2 linked regions of the Lonchura striata genome follow. Each later gene encodes a partner of the first gene's protein in a complex. Links are inferred from orthologs where the notes say so. Each region holds a gene or a part of one and is shown in the gene's direction. Other genes may lie near its edges.

What was found.
Region 2: the proteins of CSF1R (region 1) and CSF1 are in contact, whole or in part, in a crystal structure (PDB 3EJJ), measured with the Mus musculus proteins. The link is inferred for Lonchura striata from reciprocal best matches to the Homo sapiens genes CSF1R and CSF1. Residues at the interface, in NP_001032948.2 of Mus musculus: Arg142, Arg146, Leu149, Arg150, Lys151, Lys168, Val169, Leu170, Ser172, Asn173, Val231, Gly232, Phe233, Leu248, Ser250, Asp251, Phe252, Asp254, Asn255, Tyr257, Lys259; in NP_001107002.1 of Mus musculus: His38, His41, Met42, Gly44, Asn45, Gly46, His47, Phe87, Gln90, Asp91, Asp94, Arg98, Asp101, Glu110, Arg111, Gln113, Glu114, Leu115, Asn117.

What each region holds. Positions count from the first base shown.
Region 1 is NC_134617.1:6,469,319-6,477,322, forward strand, and holds the start of CSF1R (macrophage colony-stimulating factor 1 receptor), read left to right. Parts: upstream 1-5,001; 5' UTR 5,002-5,143; coding exon 5,144-5,192; intron 5,193-8,004. UniProt on the Homo sapiens protein: Tyrosine-protein kinase that acts as a cell-surface receptor for CSF1 and IL34 and plays an essential role in the regulation of survival, proliferation and differentiation of hematopoietic precursor cells, especially mononuclear phagocytes, such as macrophages and monocytes.
Region 2 is NC_134632.1:1,180,444-1,188,537, forward strand, and holds the start of CSF1 (macrophage colony-stimulating factor 1), read left to right. Parts: upstream 1-5,070; 5' UTR 5,071-5,130; coding exon 5,131-5,151; intron 5,152-6,383; coding exon 6,384-6,512; intron 6,513-8,094. UniProt on the Homo sapiens protein: Cytokine that plays an essential role in the regulation of survival, proliferation and differentiation of hematopoietic precursor cells, especially mononuclear phagocytes, such as macrophages and monocytes.

The sequences.
Region 1 (8,004 bases):
GGTCCCACGGGGATGGGGGCAGAAGTGCAGTGCAGATGTGCAGCCAGGGGAAGTCAGCCAGAAGTGAGAAGCAGCTCTTCTCTTTCTTCCCAGACAGGGCTTGGGCTGGGGGGGAGAGACAGCACCACAAGTACAGGGTGCCCAGCACTCAGGGTTTGCCTGTGAGGAAGCCCAAGCTCTGTGCAGAGCTGGCAGATCTGGAGAAGGGGATTTCACAGAATGCTAAAGGACAAACCCCCTGTTCCAACACACAAGTGCAAGGAAGAGCCGTGCTTGGGCTCGATGCTCAGCTCAGGTTCCAGGATGATCAGGGAGCCTGGATGCAGCCTGGTTGTGCTCCCACCTGGAGAACACAGAGGCTGCCCTTTGGTGGCCCTCAGGAACCTTCTGGCAGCCTTTGCCGTGGGTGGTTGCCAGGCAGAGAGCAGCCAGGGCAGCTGCAGGTCCCCCCTGAGCACTGGGCAGCTCCAGGTGATTCCTGCAGCAGATCCCAGCCCTGCCTGGATGCTCAGTGGCCAGTGCTGACTGTAACAGTGGAGGCACCATGCCACCTGCAGGACTTGCCCAAAGCAGGCCAGATATTGCTAAGAGTAAGGTTTCATAGGCCAGCACACAGGTTGCTGGGCTGCCAGCATAATTCCCACGTTTCACCTGGACACCTGAGGCCCCTGGGAAATGCCAAAGTGGATCTGGTTTGCTTTGGCAAAGGCAGGGGAACTGCTCCAGGAGCACTTTGGAGAGATGACTCTTGCCTGGGGTGGGAGGAGGCAGGGAAGGCAGCTTGTGCTGGGAGGCCTGCAGTGTCCCATCATTCCTCTTTTCCTCCTTCATGGACTGATTGCACCAGAACTGCAAATCTTGCCCAAAGTGTGCCCTCTCTCCATCTGCTGTGCTGACATCACACTGTTTCTCTGCAGCCCTTCTGAACAGCAGCAGCACCTATCTCCATGCTCTCTGTCCAAATCAGCATGAGGGCAAAGGAAAAAACAGAGTTCAGACTAAGGTACCAAAGAGTTAACACTTTTCTAGGTTTACAGTTGTATTTGTAGGATTTGTACTATGTCACATTTATAGCCATGAGATATTTTTATGCTGTAAACTTTTACAAATACATTTTTAAAGAAGGAGTTTAAAAATAAAGGTGTTTTTCATTTTGCAAAGTCCCATCTCTTCCTTTATTTGCCTGCTTTTGGTTGCTCCCACTCAGATGGGGCTGGCAATACAGCTTAACCCTGTGGTGGGTGAAGGGTAAGCATGTTAATACGCTGTGCGTGACCCCAGTGCTTAGTGAAAGCCAAGCTGGGAGCCAGGCAGGGAGAAGCACTGCAAGGAGCAGCTGAGCCCAGAGACAGGGTAAGGAAAAGAGGCAGGATCTGCCCCATCTCTGGTGACTGTGCAGCATGTGGGACATGTGGGTAGAGGGAAGGATATCAGGAATTATGCCCATGTGTATCCCACTGCCTGGGGTTTGGGCCAGCACTCCCTGCTAAGGACTTGGCCCCTTGGAGCATTGCTGGGTCTGTGCTCAGATCAGGGTGGGGATGCAGGAGAAATGACAGACTGAACAGTGGCTGGGCTGAAGGAGATGGCAGACACCACAGCACTGATTTTTCCATGTAGTTTAACAGCTCAGGGCACTGGGAGGGCCTGGAGACAGCAACAGGGCAGGGCACCAGCAGGAGCCACACTGCAGCACACAGGGCTCCCCATGCCAGCTCTCCTCCCTTCCCTCTAGGATGAGGAGTTCGCTGATACCCTCAAAAGCTGCACCTCCAAAATCCTGGCTCCCCACACCAGCACTCCCTCAGATCCACGTGTCATTCTGCTCCTATCACCTTTCCCAGTCACCTTTCCAGAGTCACTGAGGTCCCCCAGCCACATGAGAGATATCTTTTTTGAGTTTTCTCCTCTCTCTAGCTCAAATTTAACTGCTCCTCCAAAATCCATCTCCAGCTGCAGAACAGAGATGTTTGCACCTGCTCTGAGCCATGTGCTTGGAAAGCCCAAGGTTGCTGCAAAGAGGGGTTTTTGGTTAAATCATATCAGTGTTGACCCTGTTTTCTGGCTACATGATGAAGCCCCCACTGGCAACAGTTGTGCCTCCCTCAGCTCCTGGAAATTCTCTGTGTACCCAGAGGTCCAAGGCATGGAGTGCAGCAGCAAGCATGTCCAAGTCCCAGCAAGGCTCCCCTTTCCAGCACAGCCTGTCCTGGGTGAGCCTTTGCTGGTTTTTCCAGAGTGGAGGTTTGCAGCCTCCCTGACCAGCTCAGGCTGATTCTCCCCAGATATGCTCTGAGTCACCTGGCACGGCTCAGTCAGGGCATTTTTCTCCAGGAGCTGAATCAGCAGGGAGAAAAAGAACCCCTTGTGTCCAGAGAGGCTGCATCAAAGGCCTGGGGAGAAGCAGAGGGGGAGACAGACCTCAGCCCTGAACCCTGCAGGCTCTCACTGATCCCTACCTTGTGCATGTCAGGATGTGCTGGAGTGGAGTCCTGGGGCTGGAAGTGAGCAGGCCAACATGGGGACCCCCAGCAGGGTATTTCCCCACCCCAAAACAAGTCTCCTCTCCAATGATGAGACAGATACCCCATGGGGGAGCTCAGAGAAGCAGAGAGACTGCAGTGACAAACTCTGGAGCTGTGGGGTACCAACAGCTCAGTACCAACAGGACACAGGTGTTCCACGTGTGTCCCCAAAGTGCTGCAGGGCAATTCAGGCAGGCATGGCACCATGGCCAGCTGTGCTCAGTGCTGGGGTCCCACAGGGCTCCCAGCCTGGGAAACAACTGAGCTCCCAGTGCTCCCAACCAGGGCTCTCGGCAGCCTCCATTCCCCCTTCCCCAGCCATCCACCAGGCACTGAGCAATCCCATCTTTCACAACCATCAGGGCCTCTACAGATATTCCTGGGCATCAGGTTGTTCAAAGTAAGGTTGCAGCTTCTCTGGAAGCATCCCTGCCCTGTGCTCAGAGCTGCCTGGGTACCTGAGTTCCAGCAGCACTCCTGTGGCTGAGCTGCTGCTTGCACATAAGATTTGGGGTGCAGGAGGAAGATAGGGACACAAAAAGGGGAGAGACCCCAAGCTTGTCCCAGTGAGCATCCCCAGGTGTGCCCAATCCAAGCTGTCACCTGGGGATCACTGCCAGCAGAGATGCTGTGCAAGGGGCCCCCTCAAAGAGAAGAAGGAAGGTTGAGAGATTGTTTCCCTTCTCTCTATTAAACCTGTCTGGTTTAATACTTACTCACATTGGTGAGTCAGTTCTCTCTGAGTTGGCATTTGTTCCTGGAAAAAGAAAAAAAAGCTTTAAAAAGAAGAAGGAGGGAAACAAACATCCTTTAAAAAGCCCCTTTGGCTCGAAAGGAGGAAAGAATAATCAAGCAGACACCTCCTGTGGCCCAGCTGCTTGACAACCCCAGCTCTGGGCAGGAGCCCCCCAGAGCACCGTGCTGCCTCTAATTCATGTTCTTCTTCCCTATCCTGCCAGGAAAAACTGCTGAGGGGAAACGTTCTTTGGCCAAAAACTGCTTTTCCTTCTCTCTGGACTCCCTCAGGCTCTCCAGCCATCCTTCTGGCCAAAACCAAGAGCTCTCCACGTTCCCATGACTCTTAGTCATCTCCAGCACAGTCAGCCATGCTTTCATCCCTTGGCCCCAGGGCCTGGTCTTGCTGGTACCTCTCTGACTGCCCCCTTTGGAGAAGCCCATTCCCCTCCAGGCTGTGGAGGCTTTCAGGGCACTGCAGGTGCAGATTCAACAGCCACCTCTGCAGATATTTTGGAACAAGCCTTCTCTTTCTGCCCATGGTTTGTCGTGGGGTTCCTGTCACCTCCTGCTGTTGGGGCTGCTGCTGGGGCAGCAGAGCCCCTGGCTGGACCTTCCTCCCCTGTGCTCCCTTCCCAGTGCTGTCAGGTGGTGGCTGTCACTTCCCACCCCAGAGCTGCTGTGAAGAGCCCTGAACTTCTGCTGCAGTGTGAGGTTATCCAGAGGCAGAGCAGGGAGCAAGGGGCGCCCTGTGTCTGACAGGATCTGCTAATCCTGCTGACTCCGTGTCCCTGGGAGAACTGGCTGACTTCGAGCCTTCCCTCACACCTCTTTTGGAAGACCCACAGTCCAGTGGAGGGTTAACAGAGTATCTGATGTATTAATTACTAGCACTGCTAATTAGCTAATTAGTTTAATTACTGCTTCAAGGTGCCTACCAGGTTATCATTACAGACCAGCTCCAAGCAGCCTCCCCACCAGCAAGGCAGGATGGCTGGGTGGGATGGGCTCCTGGGGAGGAAGGGTCTGTGCTCGAGCCCTGCCTGGTGCTGACAGGGTCACTCTGAGCCCCAGGCTTGGAGCTACTGGGACAGGAAAGAGCAGGGGTCCCCATGTGCCCCCAGCCCAGCCAGAAGGGGTCTGCAAGCAGGACTCCAACACGTCTCCCTGCCAGGGAGGGTGGTGAAGCTGGCATGGAGCTTGGGATGATCCTGTGTGGCCACAGGATCCCTCTGTGCACCAAGGATCACACTTTTGGTTAACACAAAATAATTTGGCACCTTCACAGGCTTTTTCCCACCTGGGAGCTGCCCTGGGCTGAATTGCCTTTGTGGGCCTGCTGTGAGGAACCTGCCATGTCCTCAGGTCCCAAAGCCAGCAAGAGCCACTGGGCCTGAGGTGGAACTTGTCCTGCTGAAATAAAATGGAATCCAGGACCTGCAAGTGTGGGGACACTTTGTGTCCCCATGTGAGGCAAAAGTGTATAAATGTCCCTGGGGATTAGAGTGGCAGAAGCCAAAGAACATCAGGATTATCCCAAACCCCAGCATGGTGCAGTGGCCCCTGCCAGTCTGGGGATGGACTCCTCTCTGAGACCTGAGGGGATCCCAAAAAAGGGGGACCCTGCAGCAGGGTGTGCACGTGGCCCCACCTCTGCCATGGGATTTGTCACTGGTGACGTGACAAAGCACGGCCTGGGTTTTTTCCCCCTGTTTCAAAAACAAACAAAATAGGGAATTTGTTAACTTGTGGTCAGCTCAGAAAGGAGAAGCTCCTGCCAAGGGAGCTCTGGGGACGGTGGCCACGAGAAGAGGCACCCACTGCTTGAGAGGATCCTTCAGCAGCATCGGCTCCACGCTGGGGACACCACGGTCCCTGGGGACATGGGTCCTGCTCTCCTCCTGCTGCTCACCACAGCTGGCTGCTGGCATGGTAAGTGCTCCCAAAGCCCCACATCACTCTGGGGAGTTTTGGGATGCGTGAGGGTTTCCTGCTCTGAGTGCTCCATTCCCTCTCGGGTGAGGAGGGGTGATGGCCTTGGTGGGGACGGGGCTGTGCTGAAGGTGGATTAACAGACACGCAGCTCCTGGAGGTGGAGGGTGAAGCTGGGCTCCCAGTCCTGTGTCCCAAAAGGCTGCTGTGGGCTGGGATGGTCCCTGCTTGCTGCTGCATGAAGTGGACACTGCTGTGAGCAGGTTCAAGGGTCCTTGGCATGGGTAGGCAGAATGTGTGTGCTCTGAGGCACTGCAGGGAAGACACCAGCACTGGAATTCTCTGCAGGCTTGGCTGGAGCAGCTTTCTGAAGGTCATCCAGAGCTGGCTGCAATTAGAGAGGGCAGTGGTGGAAAGAGGGAAAGGTGTATTGCTGGTCTGGAGCCTGGCTTGCTCTTGGCTGCCAGCAGCCCTGCCAAGGTAAGGCCAAGGAGGATGGAGAGGTACATGTAGCATAGGCAGAGCCTTGGCTGTGGGGAGATGGGAAAGGGAAACTTCCCACTCTTTGGGTCTGGACAGGGTTTAAGATGAAAGAATGGTTCAGCAGCAACTGTGTCCTGAGGGAAGCTCTTTCCAAAATAAAACTTTGCTCAAATGGGGATGGAGCTGGAGATGTTTGGTCTGCAGGTGAAGGAGTCAGGAAAATCAGGTGCACTGGCACCTTCCAAAGCACCTCATGCCCAGCTGGAGTGTCTGAGGATTGCTGGTTTCTGGTGGTGCTGGCACACACAACAGGGCTGTAGAGCCAGGATGTGATGGAAATAACTCAGCCAGCCAAGAAGGGAAAGGTGAACACGCCTGTTTTTTGAGGCTGCAGAGATGACCAAGAAGTGATAACCCACCAACCTCAAAAAAGGGTCACTAAGCCTGTTTTGAGGTTTACAACCAAAGTGGTGGTAACCAGTATTACTAATCTTGCATTTTGAAGTGCTGGGAACCTCTCAGGTCCTGTGTGGCACTCACCTTAATATTCCTTTTGAGCATACTTGGGAACACAGTGAGACTGTGGTGTGAAGTCTTCCTTGGAAGAGGACAACCTGTGGGGAAAGCATTTAGCATGGGGCAGGTGGGCAGCAAATCCTTCTTGGGCCACTGCAGCGCTCCTGTTTTCAGCCCAGGAAATTTGCATCCCTCTCACTTGTTTCACTTCAAGTGATGTTTGCAACATGTTGAGCATAATTTTCTAGATCTGCTGTGCTGTGAACTGGGTTGTGAAAGATTCAGGGTTTTTAATTTCTTGTGGTTTTTTATGATAATAGGGACTAGGCAGGTGTAATGCAGATCTGTGAGAGATCATAACATAGCTTTTAGGATCTCTCCAAAGGTTCCTTGAGCCACTGGCCAGTGCCAGATCACCAGCTCATGAGGCACTTCTTCATGAATACACATCTTCAAGAGGCACTGTCTGCCATGTAGGCTGTAGGACACACATTTGTGTGAGTACCAGCACTGCTGGCCATTTGCAGCACAAAGCTGCCCCAAAGAAATAGCCTCCAGCTGGATTCAGAGCCTGACTTCCTTCTCCCACCTCTTAGATTGCAAGTGCATCTTCTTGAGTACCCAGGGCTGATGGAATGTGATCGTTGTGATCTGGGCTCTTGCTGAGGGAGGGAAAGGGGCTCAGATCAAGCAGAGGAAATGTTTTAAACTTGATCATCTTGCATCTGTGTTCTTGGCCATCTTGAGATGTATTCCTGGGGATTTTGTTTTCTTATTGTGGTCAATCTAAACCTCTGAGGTAGAAGCTCCAGCTGTGATGAGCACACTTTTCTCCATCCCTGGTTCCCCAGACACTGTAGGTGACTTTGGGGAAGGAGTCCTCAGAAATCAAACTTTTCCTTGCTGTCATTGAGGGTGGGACAAAGGGAGCTCAGGTCTGGTATGGGTTTCTCTCAGGACTGGACCTTAGCCTAGTTACTCCCCAGAGCTCACTCAAAATCCTGGTGGCTGGGTTCTGTGGTGAGGATCCTGGACACTTCTGTCGTACCAGCCTTCACTTCTCCTTCCTCACCAAATGCTCAGCAGAGGAAAGCAGTGTTTTGGCTGGCATAGGAGAGGCAGGGACAGAGCCTGCAGCTGTAAGGAGAGGTTTGGTTACACAACCCAAATGTGGTAAAACCTCTGGCCAGCAGTTACTGGCAGTGCTGCGGAAGCTGCTGGAGAGCAGAAGAGACATCCCTGGGCTTCGTGCAAGATTGCACAGTGGTCAGCAGGGAGACAGCCTCCCCCAGCAGCCCTGCTTCCCCATTCTGGAAAAGGACCCACTGCTCTGACCCATCCCCCAGCACACATGAAGGAATGGGTGCTTAGGTGACCTTCACCTCATCTTGTCCTGCATTTGGTGTCCCTCTCTTGTCTGTCCTCCCTCCACTTGTGTGGTGCTTGTATTGTTGCTGTGAGTCTCTAGTGACAGCCTGAAGGCTTTTCCCTCACTGTTCTGAAGAGCACCTCCCCAGAGCCTTTTCTGGCCACAGCATCTCAGTAGTACCTGTAAGCTGGTGACAACACAGATGACTCCTGTTCATTTTGTTTTCTTCCCTTGTCCTCCTGCAAAAAGAGTCATTTTCCCCATGAAATGGTGCCAAAGCCCTGGATGTGGATGGATAGCCAAAGCAGAGAGTAGGTGAGGGAAAAGAATCTAGAAACAAAAAGTTAAAGCAACAGAAATATCAAACCCCACTAGAAAGCACAGCTTAGCAAAAAGGGAGGAATGTTTTGCCTCAGATATGTGGAAAATATAGCTTTGTAAATT
Region 2 (8,094 bases), on another chromosome or scaffold:
GCCGGGGGGTGGCACAGGGCTGTCACCCCACAGCCTGCAGCCGGACATGTGTGGGGGTCACATTTGGGGAGTTAAAGTGGGATTTGGTCCCTCGGACACGTGCTGAGGTCAGGGGCAGTGTTGAGTGTCCATCACACGGTCTGAGGGCATCCCAGGAAGGGTTTGGCACGTTTGGATGTCACCTTGCTCCTGGCCATGGTGACAGGAAGCACCAGGCGGTGCTGAGGCCTGCCTGCCCTGGGGCATTCCCAAGCTGTTTTCCAAGCTGCCCCCGCTTGTGCCCAGCTGCTCCTGGCACAGCCCTGCAGCCCCAGCCATGGGTCAGGACTGTCCTGGCTGAGCCGGAGGGTGCCAGGGCTGCCCCCACACTGCGCTGTGCCGTGAGCTCGGGGGATGCCCAGCAGGAACGGGACACGCTGGGCGCTGTGGCCCTGCAGCAGCCTCCTACAGGGTGTGCTGGGGATGCTGGGGAGAGCATGAGCACAGGGACATTGCCCCGGGGTGGGCATCGTCCTCTTGCCACCCTGAAACCACAGCTGGTGACACCTCCTACCTCCCCCAGGCTCTGTGGGTGCCCGTGGGCAGCTGCCTGGGAAGGTTTTTGGCTCTGGCCCTGCCACATTCCTTGGTGGAGGGAGGAGTGGAGCTGGAGCCTGACACGACTCAGCCACAGCCACCAGGACTGGGGACACGCCGGTGACCCGCGCGGGGCTGTCACCTGCCTTTTGTCCCTTGTCACCACCTGGCATCCCCCCTGGCACGGACACCCCTCCCTGACCCCGGGGCTGGGCTTTATCTGTGCCCAAGGACCCCCGAGCACGCGCTGGGGTGGTGGGAGGTCTCTGTGGTGGGGAGCCCGGGTCATGGTAACTCTGAGGAGGGACGGCCCCAGCCTGACCCTGCGGCTCCCTGGCTCCCGGCCCGGCTGAACTCCCTGCCCAGGGCTCTGCTCCCATGGGTGCTGCCCCTGCGGCCAGGGGCTGCTGCTGGGGCAAGCCTGAGATCCCCCCGCTGCTGGGAGCTGGGTGGGATGTCCCAGTGTCCCCTAGGGTGTCCCAGTGTCCCTTAGGGTGTTCCTGTGTCCCTTAGGGTGTTCCTGTGTCCCCTAGGATGTTCCTGTGTCCCCTAGGATGTTCCTGTGCCCCTTAGAGTGTTCCTGTGCCCCTTAGAGTGTTCCTGTGTCCCCTAGGGTGTCCCAGTGTCCCTTAGGGTGTTCCTGTGTCCCTTAGGGTGTTCCTATGTCCCCTAGGATGTTCCTGTGTCCCCTAGGTTGTTCCTGTGCCCTTTAGAGTGTTCCTGTGTCCTTTAGGATGTTCCTGTGTCCCCTAGGGTGTCCCAGTGTCCCCTAGGGTGTTCCTGTGCCCCTTAGAATGTTCCTGTGCCCCTTAGAGTGTTCCTGTGTCCCCTAGGGTGTCCCAGTGTCCCTTAGGGTGTTCCTGTGTCCCTTAGGGTGTTCCTGTGCCCCTTAGAGTGTTCCTGTGTCCCCTAGGATGTTCCTGTGCCCCTTAGAGTGTTCCTGTGTCCCCTAGGATGTCCCAGTATCCCCTGGGATGTTTCTGTGTCCCCTAGGATGTCCCTGTGTCCCTTAGGGTGTTCCTGTGTCCCTTAGGGTGTCCCAGTGTCCCCTAGAGCGTCCCAGTGTCCCCGTGTGGAGGGCTGGAGGAGGGGAAGTGGGAGATTTGCTGCGGGATGAAGGCTCCAGCCCCATCACGGCATCCTGAGTCCCCCCTGCTGGCAGCGGGCTGGGGGGACGTGCCTTCCAACCCACATTCCTCCGCTCCTGAAGGAACTGTCCCGGGACCTTCCCACGGGGATTTCCAGCCCGGGCACACATCGCTGCAGCCTGGATTGTGCCGGTGGGATCCTGGCTCAGCTGCAGCACCAGGAGGCTGTGGGACAGCATCCTGGCCTGGCCCTGCGCTGAATCACCGGGAAGGAACTGATTAAGACCTTGCAACACTTTCGTGCTGGAAATAACTTTCTCCAGAGAGGCAGCCCGAGGCTGGCTCTAGGATGCAGCTGGAGGGATTGGATATGCCACAGGTTTTAGCCCTGCTTTGGGGCTCGTTGGCTGGAAAAAGCTTCCCGAAATGAGGGGTTGGTTGGGATGTGCTCTCACTCCCATGGGGAGGTGGGAAGAGAGGGAATTGAGGTCCAGGGAAGCTCCAGCCTTGGCCACGGTGGAGATGTGGCTGCATGGGGGTGGTGCTGGTGTCTGCTCCAGACCCTTTGGAACAGGGACCATCCTGCCCCCTTGCTCCAGCCCTGCATCCTTCCGTGCTGGGCAGCAGCCGTGGGCACCCTGGGGTGCCCAGGAAGCCCTCCAGCCTCCTCCCACCTTTCCCCCTTGGCTGACAGTGGCTCTGGGGGGAGAGGAGCAACTCCTGCACAGCACCAGCGTGGTGACAGTGCCATTGGTCCCAGTTTGCCACTGGGAGAGGGACAACCACCCTAAATTTTGCCTCCCCGGTTTTTCTGGCTACAGTGTGCACACGGAGCTGCTGCCACCTCTGCCACCAGCCCCATTTCTGCCCCGTGACTCAGGGATTTCGGCAGGTTTGGGAAGGGAGGAGGGGCAAAAGCCACTTCCCTGCCAAAAACAAAAGAGGCGGATGCTGCTCTCGCCCTGTGTCAGGCATGAGGCAGATTAATATTAACCCGTCCCTCCATCCTGCCGTCCCTCTGTCCTGCCCTCCTTCTGCCCCTGGCCCGCTGCCCCACAGCTTGTCCCATGACCCAGCATATGACACTTTTCCTGTCCCTTCAAAGCAGAGGGCAATGAGTGTGCGGGACATGAGCAGCCCGTGGCCTCAGCCGGTGTGAAAGGGCCTCATGTGCTGCCACGGGGTCCCCGTGAGTCACCCCTGGTGCTGGCGTCACCCGCCGTGTCCCCGGCGTCCACCCCGGTGTCCTCCCAGCGCGGGGGCTGCGAGGCTCCCAGAATAGCTTGTGATGAAAAATGTCTCAGCGTTTTGGGGAGAAAGGGGTTATTTTGGGAGGACAGCTGATTTCTAAACCTGATTTCTACTCCTTCCCCAGCCTGTCACCCTCAGCACCCTCAGATGTTTATCTGCTGCTGTTGCTAAGGGACACTGAGGGTGACAAGAGCTGGGGCACCCATGTGCTGGTGCAAATCTGACGCTATCTTGGGGCTGTCACTGCTGTCCCCAACTCCAGCTGCTTCCCAACTCTTCCCCGTCTCTTCCAGCAGATCACTGATCCCAACCCATCACTACTGGAATGAGCTCTCAGCTCCAGGAAAACCCCTCAGCAGCTTCTGCAAGCCCAGCAGGGTTTCCGGCCCTGGGGAGCAGATCCCGCTGGCCCCTCGGAAGCTCGGATGTGGTGGCTGTCACCCACACTTGGCCCCATTGTCACCATCCCCTCTTGCAGCCACATGCCAGTGTTTGTGGAGCAGTTTGCTTTCGGTTTCCTGTCAGAATGCCGAGTGCTTGGCACCGCCGTGGATCACCTCGTGGCCACTAATCACTTCCAGTCGCCTGGAAAGCAAACAGGCAGCGGAGAGGAAAATCCCATGTTGCATGGCTGTGCTGGGCCCGGATCCAGCCCCTCACAGATCCCTGTGCACGGATCTGCACCTGTGCACATGGATCTGCTTGTGCACATGGGGACCCTCTGTGCACAAATAGACCATTCATGCACACGGGGATCCATCCATGCACACGTGGATCCATCCATGCACACGGGGATCCATCCATGCACACGTGGATCCATCCATGCACACGGGGATCCATCCATGCACACGTGGATCCATCCATGCCCATGGGAATCCATCCATGCACACATGGATCCATCCATGCACACATGGATCCATCCATGCCCATGGGAATCCATCCATGCACACGTGGATCCATCCATGCACACATGGATCCATCCATGCCCATGGGGAACCATCAATGCACACGTGGATCCATCCATGCCCATGGGGATCCATCCATACACACGTGGATCCATCCATGCACACGTGGATCCATCCATGCCCATGGGGATCCATCCATGCAAACATGGATCTCTCCATGCAAACATGGGTCTCTCCATGCATGTGTGGACCCATCCATGCCCCTGGATGTGTCTGTGCTCATGTGAACCCATCCATGCACACGGATTTGTCCATGTTCATGCAGATCTATCATGCACACGTATGCAGACATCTGTCCGTGCACATCCCTACCAGTGCATCTGCTTGTGCACGTACAGGTCCATCTGTGCAGATGGATCTGCCTGTGCACACGTGGGCTGATCAATGCTCATGGATCTGTCCATGCACATCCTTGCTGATGCATCCATCCCTGCATGCTCTGATGGGTGTCCATCATATGTGTGTCTGTGTGTGTGTGTGTGTGCCCAGGGATGAGCAAGCACACACGTGCAAGGCCCAGAGCTCTGTGCGTGCTCTGAGGGGTGTCCCTGCACATCCAGGGGGGTTGTGTTTATGTTCACACGGATAAAAGTGCCCAGGGGTGACCATACACACACACGGGGGTGTGAGCACACGTGCACGTTCCGAGGGGTCCCCGCGTGTGCACAGTTGTGTGTGTGCGTACACACACGTGCCAGGCTCAGGGCTGTGCGTGTGCCCGTGGCTACCGGCGCCCGGGGTGCCCGTGGCCACGCAGGGGTGGTGTCTGTCCGTGGCGCATCCACGCAGAGGTGTGCGTGCGCCCAGGTGAGCACACACGCGTGTGTTTGCGATAACGGGGGCTCACACACACGGGCCGAGCCGTGCCGAGCCGGTTCCGGGAAAGCCGAGCCGATCCCATCGCAACCGAGCGGCTCCAGCCCAACCCGAACGGCGCCGCTTCGACCCCAGCGGCGGCGAGTCCGAGCGACTGAACGGCCCCAGCGGTTCCGATGGGACCTGAGCGGTTCTGCCCGGAGCCGAGCCGTGCACACGGGAGCCGGCAGTGCCGCTCGGTGCCCTGCCGGTGCTGGCCCGGGCCGGGCCCCGCGGGGCCTGGCCGCCCGCCAGGGCTTTCTCATAAACCACATGCTGCCGCGGCGCTATAAAGGGGAGCGCGGCCGCGGCGGCGGCTCAGCCCGGCCCCGCTCGGCCCCGCCGCCGCTGCCGCCTCGCCCGCTCCGCCCGGCCCCGGTCCCACGGCAGCCCCCATGCCCCGCCTCGGAGCCAAGGTACGGCGGCCCCTCCCGCTCCCCGCGGCCGCGGAGACCCCCCCCAGCCCGGCGCCCGCCGCCACCTGTGCGGGGCCCCCGCGGGAGCGGCGGCCCCGCGTGTCCCCGTGCCCCGCGGTGGGTCCCGTCCCCCGGGGGTCCCGGCTCCCGCCGGGGGATGCTCCAGCCCCGCCTCGCTTGGCCGCGGCAGCCCCGCACCCGCGGGGTGAAGCCGCGGCTCCGGCCCCGGTTCCCGGTTCCCGGTTCCCGCCTCCAGCCCCGTTACGATTCCCAAACCGGGCGTGGGGAGGCCCCGGCCGGTCCCCGGCCCCAGCCCCGTCCCCGGCGGGGCGATGCTGCAGCCCCGGCTCCATTCCCGGACCTGCGCGATGAGGCGCCAGCCCCCGGCGCGGTTCCAGCCCCGGAGCCGCGGGGTGAAGCCCCGTCCCGGTCACCGACTCCAGCCCCGTTCCCGGCTCCAGCCCCGTCCCCAGCCCGTTCCCGGCGGGGTGAGGCTCCGTTCAGCCGTGACCACATCTCGGCGGTGGCCCGGGCGGCATCTTGGAGTTTCACAAGAGGGGAGGATTCCTGGATATCATCCAAGGGAAATTCCCCCCCACTCATCACCCAGGCACCCTGTCCCCTGCCGGTGCCCCGGGAGAGGGGTGCACACCCACCCGAGGGTCCCCTCCGCCCCCACCTCGGGAGTCTTGGCTCTGGATCAAGCCCCGTTTCTCACCGGGGTCCCGCCACGGATCGGGGCCTCCCCGCTTCTTTGCAGGGGGATTGGGAGGGAAATTTGGGACGAGGCCAGAGCTGCTGCATGGAAAGAGCCCGGCGGGTGCAGCTGGGGGGGTCTGGAGGGTGGGAAGAGGATTTTTTGGGGATGGGTGGGTCAGTGTGTCAGATGGGCTCTGGAGAGCCAGGGCGGAGGAGGAGATTTGCAGGAGAGACGGAGAAATGGTTCGGGAGAGGGGAGAGGGGCTGGATCGGGAATGTGGAGGTGGCCAAGGGCCACATTCAGGCGTGTGTCACCGGGCCTTGGGAAATTCCCTGCTGACCTGGAGCTCCTAAAAATAGCAGGATGGGGATAGGCACGGGGTTGGAGGAGCACAGTGGGATTATCCTGCTGGACCGTGGCCAAGTGCCGGCTCCCACAGAGGTGGTCATGCCGGGGGGTGGTGGAGATTGGCAGGGGGCTTGGCATGTGTGTGGCTTATCCCTGCTTCAAACTCTTCCTGTGCCGTGCTCAGGTGTGCCTGCTCCGCTGCTCCCTGCTGTCGTCCCTCCTCCTCCTGCTGCTCCGCATCCATGAGACGGAGCAGAACAGCTACTGCCAGCAGATCATCACAGAGAGGCACCTGGCCGAGCTGGAGGAGCTGGTGAGTGCCCTTCCGGGGCTGTGCCGTGGGATGGGGGCTCATGTGGCGCCAGATGGGCACAAAGCAGCTCTGTTTTAGTGCTGAAATAAGGAAATGGGGCGATCTTCAGCTCCCCTAGTGAAGTGACGGCACCCGGGAGCTGAGCATCCATGGGCACAAGGGACAAGTGGGCACCGCGGAGTGACAGATGTCGTGCCTTTATCAAGGGTGGCTATGGAAAAGTGACGACAGGAGGAGCGAGAGAAGGCGGCAGCAGGAGCGAGGCCGGGAAGGGGACAGGACTGAGGCTGGATGGGCGCAGGGCCGCTGGGGAAGCAGCGGAGGGGCGGCTCTGCGGGCTGTGGTGCTTTCCGGGCGGCCGCGCAGGGGTTAAGCAGAGGAATCCGGCTGCATTCCTGAGTCCAGCTGCTTGCCTGGAAGCTGGGCTGGCAACGGGGCTGTGGGTGGGTGGCAGGCGGCGAGGGGGGCCCGGCCGGCCGGTGGAGCCGACCGGGCTGGGCGATGGGGCCGTCGTCCCGTGTGGCCCGTGGGCAGCTCCGGGCGCCGGCGGCCGCCCCGCGGCACGGCCAGCCCCGGCCCGGCGGACACAGCTGCCGGGGCCGTATCTCTCTCTTCGTGGCCCTTGGCTCACCTCCGAGCGGGGAATCACGCGGATGTTCAGGGGAGAAGCGGGAATCGGGGGCACGCAGGGATTTGCAGGGTTGTCGCAGATTAAATTCTGCCTGCAGCAAGAGGGGTGTGCGGGCGAGAGACGGGAGCGGCGCCTCCGAGTCCCCGGGAGCTCCGCTCGGTGCAAACCGCCGCGTCCGGGCTCGCTTCACCTCTTCCTCTTTAACCACCGAGCTGCGGGGCCGGGAGCCGCTCTGGGCGAGCTCGGCTTCCTCTGCCCGAGCCCTCTCTGCACAACGCATCCCCCGAGGGATTAAAATTGGGTGCGCGGCTGTGGGAGGGAGGGAACGGAGCAGGTTTGAATGGACGATGTGGTTTTCCTGCTGGGGATTGCAGCCCTCTCCTCGCTGATGGAGGAGCTGGCCCTCGCTCCAGCGCCTGCAGGATAATGGAGCAATTGTTTCCGGGACGGCATCCCAGGCTAGGAGGAGAAATGCCGGCCGGCAATTCTGCCAGCCCTCGCCCTCCCAGCCGGGGATGCCAGCCCGGAGGGAGAGCGTTTGCTTAGGGTGGGTTTTTCCTCCCACTGGGGAGGGTGGTGGCGTGGGCGGCCGGCAGCGCTGCGGGTGGGACCCCGGCGTTGTGTGATCCCGGAGAACGTGTGACCCCGGTGTCACGGCCACCTCCTGCACGGCAGGATGCTCTTTTGCAGCCTGGATTTAGAGGAGAGAGTGATGCGGGGGAGACCCGAGGAGAATTAAGCGGGGCTGGGCTCCGCTGTGGCGCTGGCAGGAAGAGGAGGAGGAGGAGGAGGAGGAAGAGAGGCGGGGTGGGAGCAGGCAGGGAAAGGCAGGAGAAGGTCTGTGAATTGGGGAGTACAACATCCTGATGGGAGCAGGAATCCTGAGCTTACTCCTGCCACTGCATCAACCGTAGGGATGTGCCTGTGTGAGGAGGAGGAGGAGTAAGGGAT